Alligator mississippiensis: one gene and its partner. The protein of the gene in region 1 interacts with the protein of each later gene in a pairwise test. Links are inferred from orthologs where the notes say so. Each region holds a gene or a part of one and is shown in the gene's direction. Other genes may lie near its edges.

Region 1 (10,318 bases):
AAAGGAATACAGCCTCACTAGGATCTTGACCTCCAGGCTGCTTAGCTGAACTTTTGTGATCCCCCCATGAGCTTTAATGCTTTGTTCAAGGCAATGGCAGAGTAGTCCAGGTTGTTTGTGGCAAAGGTATGAGTTCAAGGCTTGCTCTAAGCTGGTGCTCCCAGTTGCTGCAGCCTGGTGGTTTTGGTTGAGCAGTCAAAGTGGGTTGGACATGAAGTTTATGATGTTGCTGCCTTGTGTGCCTACACCATGCTAACCCAGCTGGCCACCTGGACTCAGTATCTTTGATTAGCTTGTTCAATGCATGAGCAGGAGTCACCAACTTATTGTAAACAAAGATCATCCAAAGCTTGTGGTCATTTGTTTCTTTTCCAGTCAGCCAAGGAATAACTTTTGGTGGAGTCCAAGACTTCCCTGAATGGAGAGAAGTGGAAATGTAATATTATACATTGGTCTTATTTCAAACTGAGCAGCTCTGGGAATCAGTATGAATGTGGAAATACTTAATTATTTGCTTTGTAGTAGCTGTGGAAGCCCCTTACTTAAAGTGGGTGGGAAGAAACTCCAGTGTGGTTGCATTTCTACTAGCAAGTATAGGAGTTAGGGTGGCCATCCTAGAGGACATTCCATTTTTCTGCTACTCTGTCCTCTATTGATATGAAACTGGATGCCTTTATGTCCTCTATTTTTCTCTTCAAGGGAAAAATAGAGGACATAAAGGCATCTGGTTTCCTATCAATAGAGGACAGAGGACAACCAGACGGTCCTCTATGATGGCCACCTTACATCATAGAGTACAAGGGTATTCTAGGTCTTGCTGTCCCAGGCCTCTCCCCGGTTTCTGCCAGGGGCTCGCAGGGTCCACACGGGAGAGCATTGTGCCAATGCCAACCTCTATCTACCAGCCAGGGCCCATCCTCCCAAGCTCTAGAAATGAGATGCAGTGAGTTCACAGCTGCTTGGTTTGTGGCCCACTGTGTACAAGCTATTTCCAAGTATTTAAATTAGCTTTTTGAATAATTTGCATGCGATTTGTGCATGCCCATAATATAACCTTTACCTTGAGCAGTACCCAAAGGTTTAGTATATGGAGCTGCACAGAACTTGGCAGTGGCAGCAGTTGTCAGAGGGGTTGGCTGGGGGAAGTTGTGTTGTGGAGGCAAGAGGGAAAGGAGCTGGGTCTCTTTGGCTGCCTCAGGATAGCAAACTGAGGGTAAAAGTCAAGGAAACAGAGGAAGGCAAGGTTTGCAGTGGCTGCCGGGAAAAGTTGAGTGAGCCATGTTTGTGAAGATGTTTGGGGGGAGCTGGATAGCTTGGGGGAAAAGCCAGAGACCAGCGTGGAGAAGGGGGTAGGGTAAAAGGACTTTGGGGTACCTTGGGAATCTGTGGGAGAACAGAAGGCTAGGAGGGGTGGGTAGATGTGTCTGCAAGGAGGAGGCCAGCAGGCTGCTCAGTAAAGAAGCCTGAGGTTGGTACTGAGCACCCCCACTCTCCTATCCTTGGATCTGTAGGACTGCTCTTTCCCTGCTCAGTTCTAGCAGCGAAGTAGTGAGCTGCAATTAAATTTAAACTACAATCATTGGACCTCTAAGATAAATCTTCACTGAGGTGACTGGAGCCATTTGCACTACTCCACCCTTTCAGGTCCTTGACAGACTCGAGGAAGAATCACTGTTTTAGGGACCAGGCATCACTTTGAAGTTTTTTTATAGACACAAGGGACAGAGACTTCCTTGGTGGAAGCTGAGATCCTATAGAGTATAAGAGGGCAGTTCAGGGAAAGCAGGAATTAAGCCCATATTCAGGTATGACCCCAGTTCAATTTCTGACGCATGTTATTGCTGTCACACACACAGCTGTATGAAACTGGGGGAAGAATTCCTGATGAATACAAGTGCAAACAAAGTCATGAGAGGCTCCTTGCTTAACTAGACTGTGTGCATGTTGGGAGGGGGCAAGGGGGTGGGAGCGGAGTGGATATGAAGCAGAAAGCTACGGCAGTGATTTTTGGATCAGCTCCCATGGTATCCATCTGAAGTAACTGAGCACGTTATGCCAGTCTAAGGAGTATCTTCTACATTTCATGGGTGTTGGTTGTAGCCATGATGGTCTCAGGACATAGGCAGACAAGGTTCTTTGGGTAAATATGATATCTTTTATTAGACCAACTAAATAGTTGGTAAAATTATTCTTTGCATCTTTCAGGTACAAACACCTGACTCTCCCTCTGCCTGAAGAAGGGTGTTTGTATCCAAAGCTTGCAAAGAACATTTTTTCCAACTATTTAGTTGCTCTAATAAGATATCACATTTACCCAAAGAACCTTGTCAGTCTAAAGAGTAGATGCTTCAAACCAGAGCAGAGACAAGAACTTCCAGTCCGATGTTGTGACCACTAGGGAACAATCTTATACTGGCAGGTAGATGGACTTAGGCCAGGTCTGCACTAAAGATGGGCCACCATAGCATGTTGGCTTACAACAGCCAATACTATTATGTCATTGGAGAGCACACGCACTTGAGTGCCCAGGTTGGTGCCGTGTCTTCAGCCTTTGGGTTGTGCTGGCTATTGCCAAACTGCACCAAGGGTAGGTATCCCAGTGGTACCACCTTCCAATGAAATGCAGTGCAGGGCACTTTTGCAGTGCATTGTGGGATGGTGCTGCAATACCCAGGCAATGGTAGTTACTCAGGGTCAGTGACCTACAATTCTTTTTTTCTTCCTGCTGTGTTTTCCACACTGGGCACGTCTACATGAAATACTAAAAGTGCAGTAGACTGATTCTATTGTGCATTACAGTGAAAACTGCTAATGCAGAGTAGAATTAGTCTTCTGAACATTAGCTTCACTTAATTGACATGCATTGGTGCTACTGCGTAGTAGTGCTTATTACTGTGTATTTAGTGCCTGTTCAGGTATTAAACTTAATGTGCAGTAATTACAGCGCATTGATACATGTGTAGACATGCCCACTGTTGTTTGACATCCCTGAGTTCCTTGTGTTCTTCTTCCTTTACCACTAGCCAGGCTCTTGCACAGGTGACCAGAGCTTGTGCAGTGTTCTACAGATGGGCCACACCATTCTTTTATAGGTGCATAATAATAGAATTGAAAGAGGTAGTTAGCCATGTTAGTCTGAAGTCATGCAGAAGGCAGGGTACATTTTCACCTCATGGATGATCTAAGTAATAACTAAATAATTTAGCTGACCACTATTGCTGTAATAGCTGGGACATGGTAGCTAAGTGGTTAAGGAGTCTTGATACATCTCCAGAGGCATGAGTTCAAGCAGGCACCTGGTCATTCAGGCTGGAGAATCAAAGGCAACCAGACATGTTGCTAACCACTTCACTACTGTGTGTGCCACCGGCTACAGAAGCTAACATGCTTCTAGACTTGGGTGGATCTTTGACATTTTTTACTATTGTGGCAACTGGTGGTTGGATGCAGATGACATGAGACTTTTGGAGGAGAATGAATGAATAATTAAGATTGTCCAACAAACATTTTTCCAGCTTACCTGTGTATGAGTTTTAGGATCAGTTTCCTTCATCCTAGGCAGGAAAATTTGATTCACCTCTCTCTGAGCTAGAAGGGGAATGAACAATCATGTGGGAGTGAGCGTTAATGAGACCTTCCAAATACCTTGTTCTGTTGTCCCAAAGGGGCCTGCTTGGAATCTTCTTTCATTAAAAGACATTTCCCAAATTTGGCAGTAACTGATGGCAAGCTATTTCCCTTCAGGATTTTTTTTTTTTTTTGCCAAGCAGGGAATTATATTAACAATTCTAAAACTTTATTCATGCATCTTAAATGCCTTGGAGGCAGTTAGAGGTCAGCACTAGTCCTATTATCATTGGGTATAAATTGCCTTGTAACTGTAACAGTGATAATTCAAGAATCACATACGAGAATTCCCCAAACCTCCTGACAACAGGAGTCAGTGCAATGTAGTAGATGTATTCAGACTTCAGAGACAAGATCTTCTTGTTTCTCATCAAAGTTGCTTTCCCATTCTGTGCCTCAGTTTCCCCATTTGAAAAAAATAATTCACTTGACCACGCCTGGCTGTTCTGAGGACAGATCAATGACATTTCACACAAACATTAAGTATTAGAAATACTAAGAAATTACTAAGTATCATTATTGTTACTGTTTCATCCATTAACTTGCTGCAACCTAAATTACATAACAAAACTCTGCTAGAGGAAGAATGCTTGAGATAGCAATTTCTTACTGTTGTAAAGACAAGCTCCAGAGAAGCAAATCCCTACTTGGTAGCAGAGGCTCCTTGAGGTAGGCTTAGGCTCTCCAAATTTGAATTGGAAACTAAATAGTTCACATTAAGCTGCACCTGTTAGGTTCAAGTCAGTGTAAATTTGGAGTGCTTTGGCTTAAGTTACTGTGGTTACCTGAACTTTTGATTCCAAACCTAGATCAATAAGAACTTGCATCAGGGCTGAAACTGGGCCCTGAGGCCTGCTTCTCCATGGCCTTGCTCCTTTGCTGTTCTCATTTATGCTGGCACTTTGTACCTGGATTGCACATACATATATGATAACACAAAGGGAAGGCAGAGATACACTGGTAGCAGTCTTTGGTTCTGTTGGCATGTCAGCTTTTTTAAACAAATCAGTCCACAGTTCTGAGTGGGAATTCATCTCCTGCCCAACACATGGGTGAGTCAGCAAGCTCTTTTCTGAGGATAATGAATTATCTACAGAATTTAAGTTTTAGTTTAATAAGAACTGGTTTCTCTCCTTTCAGGTTGTGAAGAAAATCCCTTGAAGATATAGAGTGGCAGTGATTAGGGTAATCAAATATCTAGGCATGGGGGACATGCTGATCTTGACATCTGCCACTAGATAATCTACTTTCTACTACTTGCAGCTTTTAAAGTATCCAGCTTATAAATATTGAACAGAAATGCTAACGTGAGATGCACAGTAAGAGCTGGGAATGATGTGGATTTTGAAGTGTGGAAGACAGAAGTTTGGGTGCCCCTATACTGTACATATTTAAGTTTATACTGTTGACACCTTTGCTAGAAAGGATGGAAAGTCAGCAAAATGGTTTACTTTTAGTCTAATTATGCAACTACCTCGCGGGAAGGTTTTTATATGGCACAAATCTGGAATAGTGAAGAGAGTATAGGCTTGGCCTCAAAGATTAAGTGTGTTGCACTCTAGGTAACCTGTAAAGTTGTCACAGTCACCTGTCCTGGACAATGTAAAATTGTTCTGCCCTGAGTCACAGATCCCTGGATTGCTTTTAAAGTCTGTGTAACATCAGTATTTTGGCAATGCAGCACCACAATACATGGCAAAGGTCTTCATTAACCCGCTGCATTAAGACACCTTGGCACTGTGATTCTTGGTCCTAACAGCATGCCAGCAAACAGTGACTCCGTGATGGTACCATGCTGACATCTGACACACGAGGACATCCGGGTGAGCCTGGGTGATTGCATTTCACCAGCATGTCAGCGAACGACTTGCACGTGATAACCTCATGCCACCGTGCCAGGATTGCGCCTGCTGCTATTGCCCACGAGAATGCAACGCCAGATCCCAACGCTGCAGTTGGTGCCCTTGTGCCAGTGCCCAGCAGCTCCATGCCATGACATCATGCAATGCTGCAAGTCTGTGCAATGATGTCGGGCTCTGTCTGATGAGGTTTTAAAGCAGTTGACGTCGTCTGCACCGCTGGTATTTGGGCAGGTAGCAAATCCGAGAGCAGGGCTCGCTCCTTACCCCCCGCGCGCTCCCCGGGGACGCATTCCAGCAAGGTCACTCAACCTCCCCTTGGCCTGAAACGACTGCAAGGCCAAAAGCGCCCTAGCCCCGCCTCTGAGGCCTGCTCTACGTTTCCCGGCTGGGGCGCCTATTGTGCCACGATCCCTAAAGTGGATGGACTGAACCATTCCACACCCTCTGGGGGGAGAGCCAGCAGACGTAAATCACGAGGACAACTCCCGTTCCCTCTTTCGGGTGCCTGACTGGGCTGGGCTGGGCCATACGGCTCGTCACAGGCAGGGCGGGACGAGCCGGGCCCGGCGCAGCGGAGGCAGGCTCCTGCTTCTTTCCCCCGTCCCGGAGTGGTAGCACCCGAGGTGGGAAAGGCTGCGCATGCGCAGTGCGGGCGGCAGAGCCCGGACGGACGTTGAGAGAACGAGGAGGAAGGAGAGAAAATGGCGTCGACGGGTGAGCGCCGGGGCCGGGCCGGGGCGGCGGGGCCGGGCCAGGCCAGGCCAGGAGAACCCAGGGCAGCCCCGGAGCGCGCCCGCGCGGCGGAGCCGTCCCGCTGCCGGCGGGGCGAGGCGAGGCCGAGCGCGGGACAGAGGCCGCGGCCCCGCCCGAGCGCCCCCCCCTTCCCCCGGTACCGGCCCCCTCCCCCCCGGCGCCGGGGGCGGTTCTGGAAGGTTCCGCGGCGCGGGGGGGCGGACCGGGGTCGCGGGGAGGCCGGCCAGCCGGCCGGCCCCATTGTGTAACGTGCGGCGGGTCTGGCCCGGCCCGGCCACGCGGCCTCCGCAGGGACAGGCCATGCCGTGGCCGCGCCCTCCCGTGCGGGGGTGACCGGGCCGGGCGGGCGGGCGCAGATCTGCTTCGGGGCCGGGGCGCGCCCCCTCCCTTCCCGCCCGCCGTCGCGCCTGGGCTCGGGCGCGGGTCACCTGACCGTCCCCCCGCAGCTCCCCCGCCCCCCGCGGTTGCAGGCCTGTGGCCGCTGCTCGGATGCCTCGGGCGGCGCCTGCCCCGCTGCATCGGGAGCCGCCGGGGCCTGCAGGCAAGGGCTCCCACCCGGGCGGGGGAAAGGGAGCCGTGGGCCCCGTGAGGTTTTGTCTCGCTGGAGCCGAGAGCTCTGGGCAGGGCTGCGCTGGGCACCGAGCTCCAGGCAGGTGCGGTGGTAAGAACAACCCCAGGACGGCAGCAGCTCAGCCTGTGGAAGTGCAGGGGCAGATGCTGCTCTGGTCCCCACGGCCCGGGGTCGGTGGTGCTCGCTGTACGACTTCATCGGAGAGGGTCCAGGAGTTGGTCCAGTTACAGCTTATCTTTTGCTGCCTCTCTGGTGCTCTTTAAGTCGTCTCTGCATTAACATCCCTTTGTGTAATTATTAGGACTGCTAGGACCAGCACTACTTTGGCAGCTTCCCTCTGCAGGTTCAGGCTTTAGTAATATCTACTAATTCATCCTGGCTGGCTGTTACATTTTCATTGGACAAAAAGAAAATTATGTCTAATAAGTTACGTGTTGAAATGAGGTTTATAATGCTGCTTTTTCCTTCCTGCCTTAAAATTGTCCTTAATGTGTTCTGATCCTTGCTCCTTTTCCAATACAGGGGAGCAATTGGCATTAAATAGTTAAAATTCCAACTTTTGAATACAGCTGAATTTTTTTTCTCTTGCAAGAGTTGGGATATACATATACAAATAATTACAGTTCCATTTAAGCAAAAATACAGGCTGAATAACTGTTAGTCTGATGTGATTACATGACAGAAATCTTGTGCAGCGTACACCTTTGAAAATAGGGTTGGCATGTCAGCAACCTTTAATCAGTGTATGATGTTGCTGGGATCACAGAAGAAGTAGGATTAAGTGTTTGGTTATATTAAATACTAGACTAATTTTGAGTTCTTTTATTGAAATTCACATACCAAAATGGAGGAACCTTGTTTCCCCTCCCCCCACCCCCTCTTTAGCCATGAAATGCATTCAGCATTTCATGCCTGGGCTTTCCTAAGCAAATATGCCTTTGACTGCTGAAGTTCAGGTTATGTACAGGAGTGGTGTAGATGAGAAGATGGAGACTGATGTACATGCTAGGATTCAGTATTTTTTGAAGTGTTTGTAAATCTGCTTTGGACTTGCATGGATCTTAAATGCCTTAGCATGGATCAGGTCGTTACAAGTTTTATCCATACAAGCTGTCTAAACCCTGCTAAAAATGCCTTTCAGTGATGTTGCTTGAATTCAACTTGTAGATGTGTAGTCATAGCAGTGGAAGGGTAAATAGATAATACTTTTCTTTGGAGAAAATCAGTTTGCTTGCTTCAAGCAAGCACCTGGTTATCTTTGACTAGCTACACATGTAACCAGGTTATATTTGTCACAGGGCCTCATGACACAATATAGTTCAGTTATGCAGTGTAGGTAGTAGATTAATTCTGCCCTGGTACCTTAATACAGTTCTGTACCTGGCACCTTTTGATAACATTTGGGAGCTTGATTAACTGCCTAGCTGCACTAACCACAAAGGCAGTATTATGATTCTGTCCCCTAATATGGTTTAAGTATTAATTCAGTAGATTTTTGGCACTAGAAGGACCATTCTGGGAGCTGCTAACTACAAAAATAAAACAAAAACCCAACACACTTTCTTCATTCACCAAAGCTTCTTGTTGCCTCATGACTCATCAGAAAGCCTTAATCTACTGCACTAGTTCACCTTTAATTTGAACATCTCAAGTCTTGCAGTTTTTAAAATTAAGTACTGTAAAGGTGCTTTCAGTGGAGACTCAACATATTTTTCTGCTATTAGAATGGTTTTTCATGTTTTTTTTAAGAATATATTAAGTATTTAGTGGGTTTTTTCCTCCCTGTGTTCATCATGGAACTTCTGGCAGATGTTTTTTCTTTTTGTGGAGAAAATCAATGAAGTGTGGGAGAAGAAAATACAAAATGATGTCAGCCTTCTAAATGGACACAAGTTTTATAAAGTAGGTCAGGCTACTTGGACTATCATGTTAAACGAGAGTTAAAGCTAAACCCAACCAGATTGGATTTTCCCAGAATGAAAAGGACTTTCAAGGAAAGTGTCACTGATTAACGCTACCTTAACTCATAAAATAAATTGTCAGATCTTTTTAAAGGCCTTTTTTTCTACTTAATAAATGAAATTGTTCTTTCTGTGGAGGTGCTGTTGTAGCATACCACCATTGTACTGATAAGCCTTATATAACAGAACAGGAGAGAAGATTCAGGTTCTATTAGAAATAAAAGTTTCAGAGAAGGTTTAGCTAAATTAGTGGTGATTTGTTTGTTTTGACAAGTCCACATGTTCTAGTAAATTGAAAGGGGGAATTAATAAAGGTAGACATGTAACATAATATGCTTATTTAGCTAAATTTTGAAGTCCAAAGAGGTAAAAAAGCAAACTAACAAAAACATAATACCTTGGAGGCTGCTAAAAGGAAGTAAGAGAAAATAAGGAAAAATGAGTATTATTACTGAAGGGTTGTACAATAGATTCTCAAATCTGTATAGAGAGAGGCTGTAATTCCCTCTCTGTTTCTAAGGCCTGGTTCATTACTGTCAGGGTACCTGGTGAAGGTGAGATCAGAATAGTTTCTACTCTGTCTAGTTGTGCCTCTCCCACTGTTCTTGAGATAAACCTGAGATGGCAGAATTGGTGAGTGACCAGTCTCCTCTCAACGTACAACTGTTGGCCATACTTTACATGCTGTTCAGCTACAAGGGCTAGTCTCAGAAGCATTGGGTGTGTTCATTTGTAAGTGAAGAGAGAAGGAAATGGTGATATTTAAAAAAGCAAAAGCAATGCTAGAACATAATAGACTAATTTGTTAGAACTCTAAGGGTCTTCAAACTAACAGCTTTTTTGGTTGTGGTTTACCTCAGATGGTTAGTCTAAAAATAACATTTGGGGGAGACTTCCCTGCCACCTACCCTCTCTAATACAATAGTTTTATTTCCTTCATTTCGATATGAAATACTGTGTAAGCTAGTCAAAAGTTGTATACCGGTAGTTACATCTGCATTTCTCTCCTTCCTCCCCTGAAAATTTGGCCAATGCCTGAGCTCCCAAAACCACTCCCAAGTTGAAGTAGGAGGGACACGAACACCTGTATAATTCAGTCTGCATATGACATGATAGGATGAACAGAAATGACAGCTGTGTTGTTGAAGGTCTTTGACCTCAAGAAATAAGAACTTCTGGTATACAGTACAATTCTGTTTATATAAAAAATTAAACATCTTTGGGGGGGGAGGTTCTGGATCCATGTACATTTCTAATTACAAGAAGCTAGGAAGATGAAGGAATTAAAGCAAATAAATGACGAAATTCTAGGGGCGCACTGATAGAGATTTTGGGGACTAAGATGTGCAGCTGATAAGTCTGTTGTGGACAGGGAAGGGGGAGGGAAGGTGTGATGAGGGAGTGGGGCTGGGTCAGACACTGCCCAGATCAGGCGGGGCATGGGACGGAGCCACGGCTTGTGTGGGGAGCAGCTCCTGCTGCTGTGTGCACCCCTGAAGGGCATGGGCCCTGGATCTGCGCAGGGTGGGGGTCACAGGGTAGGT
Region 2 (9,769 bases), on another chromosome or scaffold:
AATTAGCCAGAATCTCAGAGGTTATCCAAAAAATGTCTCTAGTGACAGCTGACCCGTTCATAATTTTGGAACAATCAGATGGCAATGTTTCCTTTCCGGTTAAATCCAGTCCATCTGATTTTTCTAAAGAGAATGGATATTCCCTCGTATTGCCCTTTGAACCAGGTTTATGACTTTATCTTCCCAGCAACGAGGATTTGCCTAGAGAAAGAGCATGTATTAGCTCAAGAGATCGTGATTTTCAGAGTGATTTATTTTATGAGGGTTATGAAATAAATTATCAGGCAGTGATTGGCCATAGGGGAGAAGCACATAAAAGCTTACCGCATGCATTGAACATACCATCTGGTAGCCTTTTAAAATCTAGCTTCAGGGTGGCTCCGCTATTTCTTTCAAGTGCATGATGTTCCCAGTGCACAGTGAGGCCTGAATATAAAAACTGCAGGAGGATACCCCAGTAAGAACCAGCACTATACATCCGCAGTTTATTTTCTTATAACTTTATGATTCTACTCTATTTTGAGTGATTGGCATTTTTGTCCTATCTTGACTAATCAGTTTTCTAACTTGAACTGTGCAAAAAAAATCCTTTTATTTGGCTGGGTATTAAAAAGAGGCCTCCTCTCCATTCTGCAATGGGTTTCTTGGGTCTGAAGAGCTGGATTTATGCAAATGTGCAAAAGAAGCCCGTGTTGTTATTCTAGGTGCCTTGTTTGTGATGCACACAGCCCGGAGGGTGCGATGAGAATTCCTCTCTGATATTTGTCCTATCTCCAGATCTTCCCTGCTGTCCCTTACGTCTCACTGTTTAGGAATGCAAAAATACAAACACCATGAAATATAACTGAAAACATAAGGTGAAGGGTACAAATTTTCATTTACCAGTATTTAAATCCCTCCAACCCTAATGTAGCCATGTAGGTATCTATGGGCAATGAAGTTGCTAATGTTCCTCGCATGATCACGATGCTGCTGATACTCGTTATTCATGCCTTCGATTTTAGAGTAAGTATTATCCAATAATCTTTTCCAAACCCCAGTCCACAGCGAGTGCCTAAGAATGACAACACTGCCACTAAAAGAGAATCAAATCCCTGCAGTGCATACCTGTAATGCAGCCTGTGTTTAATCACATCCTGTCCAAAATCCGCATTCACATGATACAATCCCAAGCTTCAAAAATCATGCCTGGAAAACAGTGTAAAACATGTTCTTCATTAAGGAATGAAAAAAGCCATCGGTTTTCTATTGCTTCTGCTGACCTCAGTGAGAGCCACGTGCAAGTGGTAGGAACAGGGGTGTACACCAGCTGCAGATGCTTCCTCAACCTGATGAAGGGTACTTACACCCGAAAGCCTGCTAAGAAGAATTTTTCCAACTCTGAGTTGGTCTAATAAAAGATATCAGATTCACCCAAAGAACCTTGTCTGCCAGTGATAAGAATGGGCTTTTATTCGATTGTGTTAGTTTTTTTTCCCAAATGTTTTACAATGCACAAGTAGTGTTGTCTGGTAAATACAGGGAGTGTGTGTATACACACATACATGCTTACCAACTCCCGACTGTAACACAGAAGAGTTGCACACAAAACCCATAAGGCTACTTTTTCTCAAAGCACGTATTCCTTCTGCATGTGTTGAAATAAATGGCAAACAGGAGGTACCAATGGATTTTTGTGCAAAAACAGGGTCCTTTCTGCTGCTTGTGAAGGGAAGAAAGACATATGCATAAAACACATCACCTGTCCCTAGCTGCATGCTAGTAGACTTGTCGAGTTGTTGATGGATGGCAAGTCTGGTTCAATTTTTACGGTAAGACGTCGCAACCTTCCTTAGTTGCTCATTAACATTTCTAGCTATTGTGTTGTTCAAGTAAAATGCAGGCGCCGTCTGAACTCCTGCTGTCACTGCTGTGTATGCTGTGCATGTGGGGACCCTTTTCCCTGGAGTATATGGGACTTTTCTAGTTTGAAATCAGCTGTTGTGAATGGCGCAGTGCTGGGAAAAAGGACAGCTTGACTATTATTCGAATTTTTTATTTTTCCAAGTGGGGGGTCCTCTTGGTAGACCCACCAGTGATAAAGATCGTGGCCAATCCATCAAAAAGCCCGAAGATAACATTAAAGAAGAAAAGGATTTGAAAACGGGCTTTAGATACCTGGTTAAATGCTGAGTGAACTGAGGATCAGGGATAATATTAAATGGTCGTTTGCTTCATAAAAGAATTGGGGCTTAAGATTTAGGAAACAGTGTTTGATGCAAATAAGCGGCATCAGCGAACTTACTACATTTTAATTCCTCCAGCTACAATAACACTGGTGCCTGCTCCTGTTGAAGTGTTTTCCCCACTGTCTGCCAAGGGGAGCAGGTCAGGACCTTGAGCATTTATAATAGAGGCACACCGGGGACATCAGCAACGAGCATGGGATGAGAGTCCCGATCCTATAGACTCGTATATGCTATCTGAACCTCACCGCCACCAGCAGTCCCGTAGAATAATCACACCCATAAACATTTGCAGAATAGAGAATATGCATTTCAGGTCGAATTTCATTGTAATTTGTGACATTAAAACCATATAGAAGGTTACTGGCAGGGCTCTGGACAGCACAGCACGAGGTACACGAGGTGGAGAGAGAGACCTGTGATGGATGGAGCTCCGTGCCGCTATACTCTGAACGTACGACAGTTCCTAAATGATTTTTCCCCAGAGAAGTGGGTAGGCAGAGGTGGACCAATCGACTGCCCTGTCGTCGTTGTATTTCTTTTTATGGGGACCTGTTAAAAACGTAGTTTACTTGTCAAAACCACGTTCTTTGGTGGAACTTAGGGCTAGGATCACCCACGCAATTAGTGCAGTAACTCAAGAGCAACTGGGAAATGTTTTCAAGGAGTTGGAAAATCGGATTGAGCACTGTATCACGATGGACGGTGGTTATGTTGAAGTCTAGCGTTGTGTACTCCAGTTGTCCTAAAACTTTAATAAATTTGCTTTTCAATGCTGTTTACAGATTGTTTTTACCATACCCACAACCTTAAGTTATTGAAGTTTACAAGTGCAGAAGGACTTGATGAAGACCCTGTATACTATGTATGGTGCAAGCTTTCATGAGCTGAAGCTCACTTCGTTACTGCTTATTTGTTTGCCTCTTCTAGCATTTGTCCCCTCCCCTCTTCTTTTTATACACTGCTTTGTGTTCATCCTTTCATGGCATCTGATGACGTGAGCTTCAGCTCATGGAAGCTTGTGTGTGTGTGTGTACATAAATATACACACACACGTACACACGCGTCTGTCCAGAGGCCTTGCTATTAACAAGCAATGAACCTTCTATATTGGGTTAGTCACACACACACACATAAACATCATGTCACATGAATACTGTATGCACATATAGATAAACACACATACATATACACATTTACATATATAAACACACACACACACACACACACACATGCGTGTACTTTGGTTAGCAGGGATCCTGGTTTACTCTGATTTATAAACATCCCCAATTTTCAGTTAAAAAAATATATGTTTTTCTGTGATTTAAATGAAACACCAATAAAGAGAGAGAGAGAGAGAGCGGTGTTTCACTTTAATGATGGAAAAATGTGGATTTGGGGTTACTTTTTTTAAATGGAAAATTGGGGATATTTTTTAAAATCAGAGAAAACCAGGTTTGCTGTTGGTTAGTCTATAGGGTGCAAATCTACTTCTACAAGATGTGAAGGCAAGGATTTCTTAGGGTGATGTCTTGTATTGGACCAACCATGTAGTTTATCCCAACTGCATTTAGCCCAATGGAAGATCCCACCTGAAGAAATCTTTGCCTCTGGCATAGTTTCTAGTCCGTCGTCCCTACAATATCACTCCTACACTACCATGGTGGCGATGGGCAGAGGTAGGTAGGTGGATGGATGGCCCCATAGGTGGATTGATGGATCCATAGGTGGATGGAGGGACCCATGGCTGGGTCGGTGGGTGGATGATGGATGAATGCATGGTGGTGTCAATGGCTGGGCTGGTGATGGATGGAAGGAAGGATGGGTGTGTGCATGGATTGATTCATGCCTGGGTGGGTGGGTGGATGCATGGATGTGGATGGGTGGGTGGGTGATGGATGGATGGATGGATGGAAAGATGGGTGTGTGCATGGATGAGTGCATGGATTGATTTGTGGCTGGGTAGGTGGATGGAAGTGGATGGGTGGGTGGACGATGGATAAAAGGATGGGTATGTGCATGGATTGATTCATGGCTGGGTGGGTGGATGGATGGAAGAAAGGGGTGTGTGCATGGGTTGATTTGTGGCTGGGTGGATGGATGGATGTGGAAGATGGATGCATGGAAGGATGGGTGTGCGCATGGATTGACCTGTGGCTGGGTGGGTGTGTGGGTGTGAATGGACTGGTGGATGATGGATGGAAGGGGGTGTGCATGGATTGATTTGTGGCTGGGTGGTTGTGTGGGTGGGCGGATGGGTGCATGGATTGATTTGTGGCTGGGTGGGTGGGTGTATGCATGGATGTAGACAGGTGGGTGGGTGGTGGATGGAAGGAAGGATGGGTGTGCGCATGAACTGATTCGTGGGTGGGTGTGTGCATGGATGTGGATGGGTGGGTGGGTGGTAGATGGAAGGAAGGAAGGATGGGTGTGTGCATGGATTGATTCGTGGCTGGGTGGGTGGATGGATGGAAGAAAGGGGTGTGTGCATGGGTTGATTTGTGGCTGGGTGGATGGATGGATGTGGATGATGGATGCATGGAAGGATGGGTGTGCGCATGGATTGACCTGTGGCTGGGTGGGTGTGTGGGTGTGAATGGACTGGTGGATGATGGATGGAAGGGGGTGTGCATGGATTGATTTGTGGCTGGGTGGTTGTGTGGGTGGGCGGATGGGTGCATGGATTGATTTGTGGCTGGGTGGGTGGGTGTATGCATGGATGTAGACAGGTGGGTGGGTGGTGGATGGAAGGAAGGATGGGTGTGCGCATGAACTGATTCGTGGGTGGGTGTGTGCATGGATGTGGATGGGTGGGTGGGTGGTAGATGGAAGGAAGGAAGGATGGGTGTGTGCATGGATTGATTCGTGGCTGGGTGGGTGGGTGGGTGGTGGATGGAAGGAAGGATGCGTGTGCGCATGAACTGATTCGTGGGTGGGTGTGTGCATGGATGTGGATGGGTGGGTGGGTGGTAGATGGAAGGAAGGAAGGATGGGTGTGTGCATGGATTGATTCGTGGCTGGGTGGGTGGGTGGGTGGTGGATGGAAGGAAGGATGCGTGTGCGCATGAATTGATTCGTGGGTGGGTGGGTGTGTGTGTGCATGGATGTAGACGGGTGGGTGGATGGAAGGAAGGAAGGATGGGCGTGTGCATGGATTGATTGGTGGCTGGGTGGGTGGGTGTGTGCATGGATGTGGATGGAAGGAAGGATGGGTGTGTGCACGGATTGATTCGTGGGCGGGTGTGTGTGTGCATGGCAGTGCGGTGGGTGGACGTAGGTGGCTCATGGGCGGACCCGCCCCCTCCCCCCGCAGTTCCGCGCGCCGCCGCTAGAGGCCTCCCTCCTCCCGGCCCGGCCCGCACCACGTGACTCCCTCCCCTCCGCATTCCAGCACGTGACGCGGCGGGCGCTGACGTGCGGAAGGGGCGGGACGAGCGGTCGTGCCCTTCCGGAGCGGGGTCAGGACACGCTTCCGCTTCCGCTTGGGTCGCGCCGCCGCCGCCGCCGCTGCCGGGCCGCTTCCGCGCCCTTCTCCTCCTCCTCCTCGTCCCCGTCCCGCCTTAGGTAAGGGGGGGGCTCCCCCGCCCCCGCTCCTCCCCGGGGGTGCGTGTGGTGGCCGGTTTGCGACGGGCACGCGCGGGGCGACGCCCGCCAGGAGGCCCCGGCACCCCGCTCGTGTGTGGGCAGGCGAAGCTGCCGGCGGGGCGGGGCGGGGCGGGGCAGTGGAGAACAGCGCTGGGTCTGGACGCGGGGGGACGTGTTCGCGAATAATAAAGTAAAACAATAAAATAGAAATAAAATAAAATATAAAAACCCAACTGCTGATAAAATTGACGAATGACAGAAATATGGTGCGGGGCCAGGGCCGGGGTCCCTCGTGGCGGGGCAGGGGCAGGCGCTGTGCCGGACGCGCATGGAGACGGGCGTGTCTGGGGCGACGCCGCCGAGGTTCCTGCAGGTATAAACATCACAGCGTACAAAAAACCATGACTTGGCTGCAAAACGATGCCAGTTATTAAACCAGCTGGGGAAAATCGCAAGAAAATGGTGCTTTTCTACAAGCTTTGGGGGATCAAAGTCCCGTCATCGGGCAAGGACCGTTTTCTTGCGATTTCCCAGGTGGTTTAATAACAGGCATCGTTTTGCAGCCAAGAGTCATGGTTTTTTGTACGTCGTCTCGTCTGGGGCCGACGCGGCTACCAAGCGCCGCCCCTCCCCGCCCCGCGTGTCGTATAAGCGCTTTGTCCAAGAGGAAAATGCAGGTAATAAAGGGCTTTTCAACCTAGCGGGAAAAGGCTGAACAAGAGTCGATCGGGACTCGTGCAAGAGGTGATTTCCTTTATTAAACCAACTGGATTTTTGCAAAAATAAGAGAAAAAATCGTTAATTGCAAGCTTTGAATTTTGTGCCTGAAAGCTTGCAGTTAAAAATGTCTTTAATTTTTGCAAAAATCTTGGTTTAATAAAAGAGATCATTATTATGAGTCCTGTTTGCCTTTTAATGTATACAAAGCACATTATAGCATATAAGCACTTTGTCCAAGAGGAAAATGCAGGTAGTAAAAGGCTCTTTAACCTAGTGGGAAAAGGCTTAACAGGAATCAGTCGGGGCTCATGTCTTTTATTAGACCAAGTAGGTTTTTGCACAAAAAAAATAAATTATTTAATTGCAAGCTTTTGGTAACAAACATCAGGCGTTGGAGAAAAGGTTGTAAAAGTTTTCCTGAGTAGAAATGAAAGTTCATATTTCATACAGAGTCATCAATAGATGGACTGTCACTCTGGGCAGGCAATTAATTACACCTTACTAGTTAAGAAAGGTGGGCCCAGAGGAGTATCTATTGACTCCTCTGTGAAATCCTATGAAATATGAACTTGCATTTCTACCCAGGAGAACTTTTACAATCTTTTCTCCAATGCCTGATGAGTGTTTGTGCCCAAAAACTTGCAATTAAAGCATTTATTTATTTATTTGCAAAAATCTAGTTGGTCTGATAAAAGGTACCACCTCTGCCACAAGTCCCAGTTGCTTTTTCCTCTAGACCAATACAGCTGCAACCTGGATACCTAACAAAAATCAGCGTCTGGAAGCTGAAATTGGGTCAATTAAGACTGGAAATAGGGCATACATTTTTAACAGGAAGGATTGAACCTGCCCATGGAAATAATGGGATTGTCCATCCGTTGTCTTCAGATCAACACTAAACACTTTTCTGGAAGGAATATTTTAGCCCAGGGGTGGGCCACATATGGCCCATATAGATCTGGCGTGCAGAGCCGTGGGGCCAGGTGGCTGGGAGCTGCGTCCACGCTGCAGCTGGAGGGCAGGGAGAAGCAGCAGTGGCTAAGTTAGCACATGGCTCCGAAAACCCGGGGACCGCTGTTCTAACCGAATACAAATTACACTTCAGTTGAACCCAGGTTATTGGGTTCGCTATATGGGTAGCAGGATGTCCTTTTAGTCATGTGCAACAAAGTCCCTTCCGGCCTTAAGCTTTATGGAGCTGAGAATTGGCTGCCCAGTGCAAACAGATGGTGGAAGAACAAAAATGTAATGAGACAATGAGCAGAAATCCCACAGGGGAAGGACAAGAAATATTAGTATGGAGGAAGTTACATGCCTGCCAGACCAAGGCTCTTAAATGGTTTGTTTTGGGGGGGGGGGGTTGGATGATGGGAGACAATTATTTTGAAGAATGATTCCCTTTATATGCAAATTTACTTTGTCTTCTTGGAATCCTAGGTAATTGTTACCACTGACTGTGTATTTATGGCATTTGCCCTTTTGTTCTTCTTATGTCTACCTTCAAAATAGTCTGGAAACTTCTGATAAGATTTAAAACCCCTACTCCAGCCCTTTTCTAGTTGGCACGAAGATAATGGTGGTATCGAAAGCGAGATTAACTTGCTAATGATGAATGATCTAACTGCTTAATCTACTCCCTCCACGTGTACTAGTCATATTTATAGTCTCATAATGATGCATGGTTGTGAGGTCAGAGTCGATGATGCATATAGGGTGTGTTGGCCTGTCCTTTGATAAATCATGAAACGTGGGAAAGGAAAAGCTTGATAGACTGACACAGTGATTGAAGGAAAGAGCTGTAGAAACTTGGCAGTGGGATAAACTTTAGGGTGTCCCTTTTACAATTGATCCTACATTTGTGGTTTTGCCACCACTATTATTTGTTTGGACTGTGAAAAAAACATTGGAGTCTTTGGCATATCTGTGCAGAGCAAAACCCATAATGTAGGTGCAGTTATACTAGCTAGGAAGTCCTTTTGCTGTTTTAGTTTATTCTGTTCAGTGAACTGGGTTAAACTGGCCACTTGTGATTTTGGAGGGTGAAGGCAGTTTGCTGGCTCTCCTGTGACCTGAGGGCTTCTAAAGGCAGAAGGATTTCATAGTCTCCCTGGAGGCCTCTACATATCTGTTTGTTGGTGGGTAAGATTGGAGTCTGCTGCAAAGCTGTACGTTGTCTCTCTGGGGGAGGAATGAGAGGGTCTAGCAGACCCTCCGAGGGTCGGCTATGGGTAAATGATGAGGGAAACATTCAGGGGCAGGCTCCAAATTAACCCTGATAGTCCTGGGTAAAGATTTGGGTTGATTTGGTGTCAAAGCAACTGGATCTGTCCCCAGGGCCTGAAGCTACCGAGTCCCTGTGCTAAAACTTACTCTTGGGAAGAAGGGACAGTTTCCAAGGGTAGAGGAGGGGCCTTTCCCTTTGTTTTTATAGACTTATCTTGCAGCAGAATGGATAAAGACAGGACTTTGACATCAATGTTGCTAACTCTGTAATCTTTCCTGTTCCCTGCCAAACTATTTAAACCATAATAACTCCTCTGCTCCCAGCCCCTGAAAAAGAATAATTTGAAACTTGCTTTAGCCTCTAAACTCTGGTGCAAAAACTGTGTCAGTTAATTTAGTTGGTTTCATTTTTTTCCTCTTGACACTTAATAGTACTTGTGTAATGCTCATCTAGGAGGCACGTAGCAAAACTATTCAAGCTGAAACTCAAATTCCATTTGCGGCTAGCCCCACCTTTTGCACAAGATACAGTCAGTGCATTTATTTGCTGCTTCCCTGTAACTGAGTCCTTTAACTTTAAGTAAAATAATTGGATGGTGTCAGGTTAAGTACTTTTAAAATAGTTCATGAGATTTTTCAGGAGTCAGTCTGATGTTTTGCTTCGTGATTTTTTTTTTAATTGATGCATTTCCACTATTCCATTGAGGTTGTTCATAAATATAAAAGTAGTACTTATAGTCCCAGCATGATAAACGATTTGGGGGGGGGGGGGGGTGCCCAGTGGCTGGCGGAAGAGCAAACCTGGAAGTGCTTCCCTGCGTCCCACCTACACGGCCTTCGCATCCCACCAGGTTGAGAAACACTGTCTTAATGCATTTCATAGATTCATAGATGTTAGGATCGGAAGGGACCTCAATAGATCATAGAGTCCGACCCCCTGCATAAGCAGGAAAGAGTGCTGGGTCTAGATGACCCCAGCTAGATGCTCATCTAACCTCCTTTTGAAGACCCCCAGG

What was found.
Region 2: the proteins of EWSR1 (region 1) and MAPK1IP1L interact in binary tests that used the Homo sapiens proteins (3 or more experiments, as listed by UniProt). The link is inferred for Alligator mississippiensis from reciprocal best matches to the Homo sapiens genes EWSR1 and MAPK1IP1L.

The regions. Positions count from the first base shown.
Region 1 is NC_081833.1:26,354,778-26,365,095, forward strand, and holds the start of EWSR1 (RNA-binding protein EWS), read left to right. Parts: upstream 1-6,101; 5' UTR 6,102-6,190; coding exon 6,191-6,203; intron 6,204-10,318. UniProt on the Homo sapiens protein: Binds to ssRNA containing the consensus sequence 5'-AGGUAA-3'. Might normally function as a transcriptional repressor. EWS-fusion-proteins (EFPS) may play a role in the tumorigenic process.
Region 2 is NC_081825.1:299,288,589-299,298,357, reverse strand, and holds the start of MAPK1IP1L (MAPK-interacting and spindle-stabilizing protein-like), read left to right. Parts: upstream 1-5,618; 5' UTR 5,619-5,789; intron 5,790-9,769.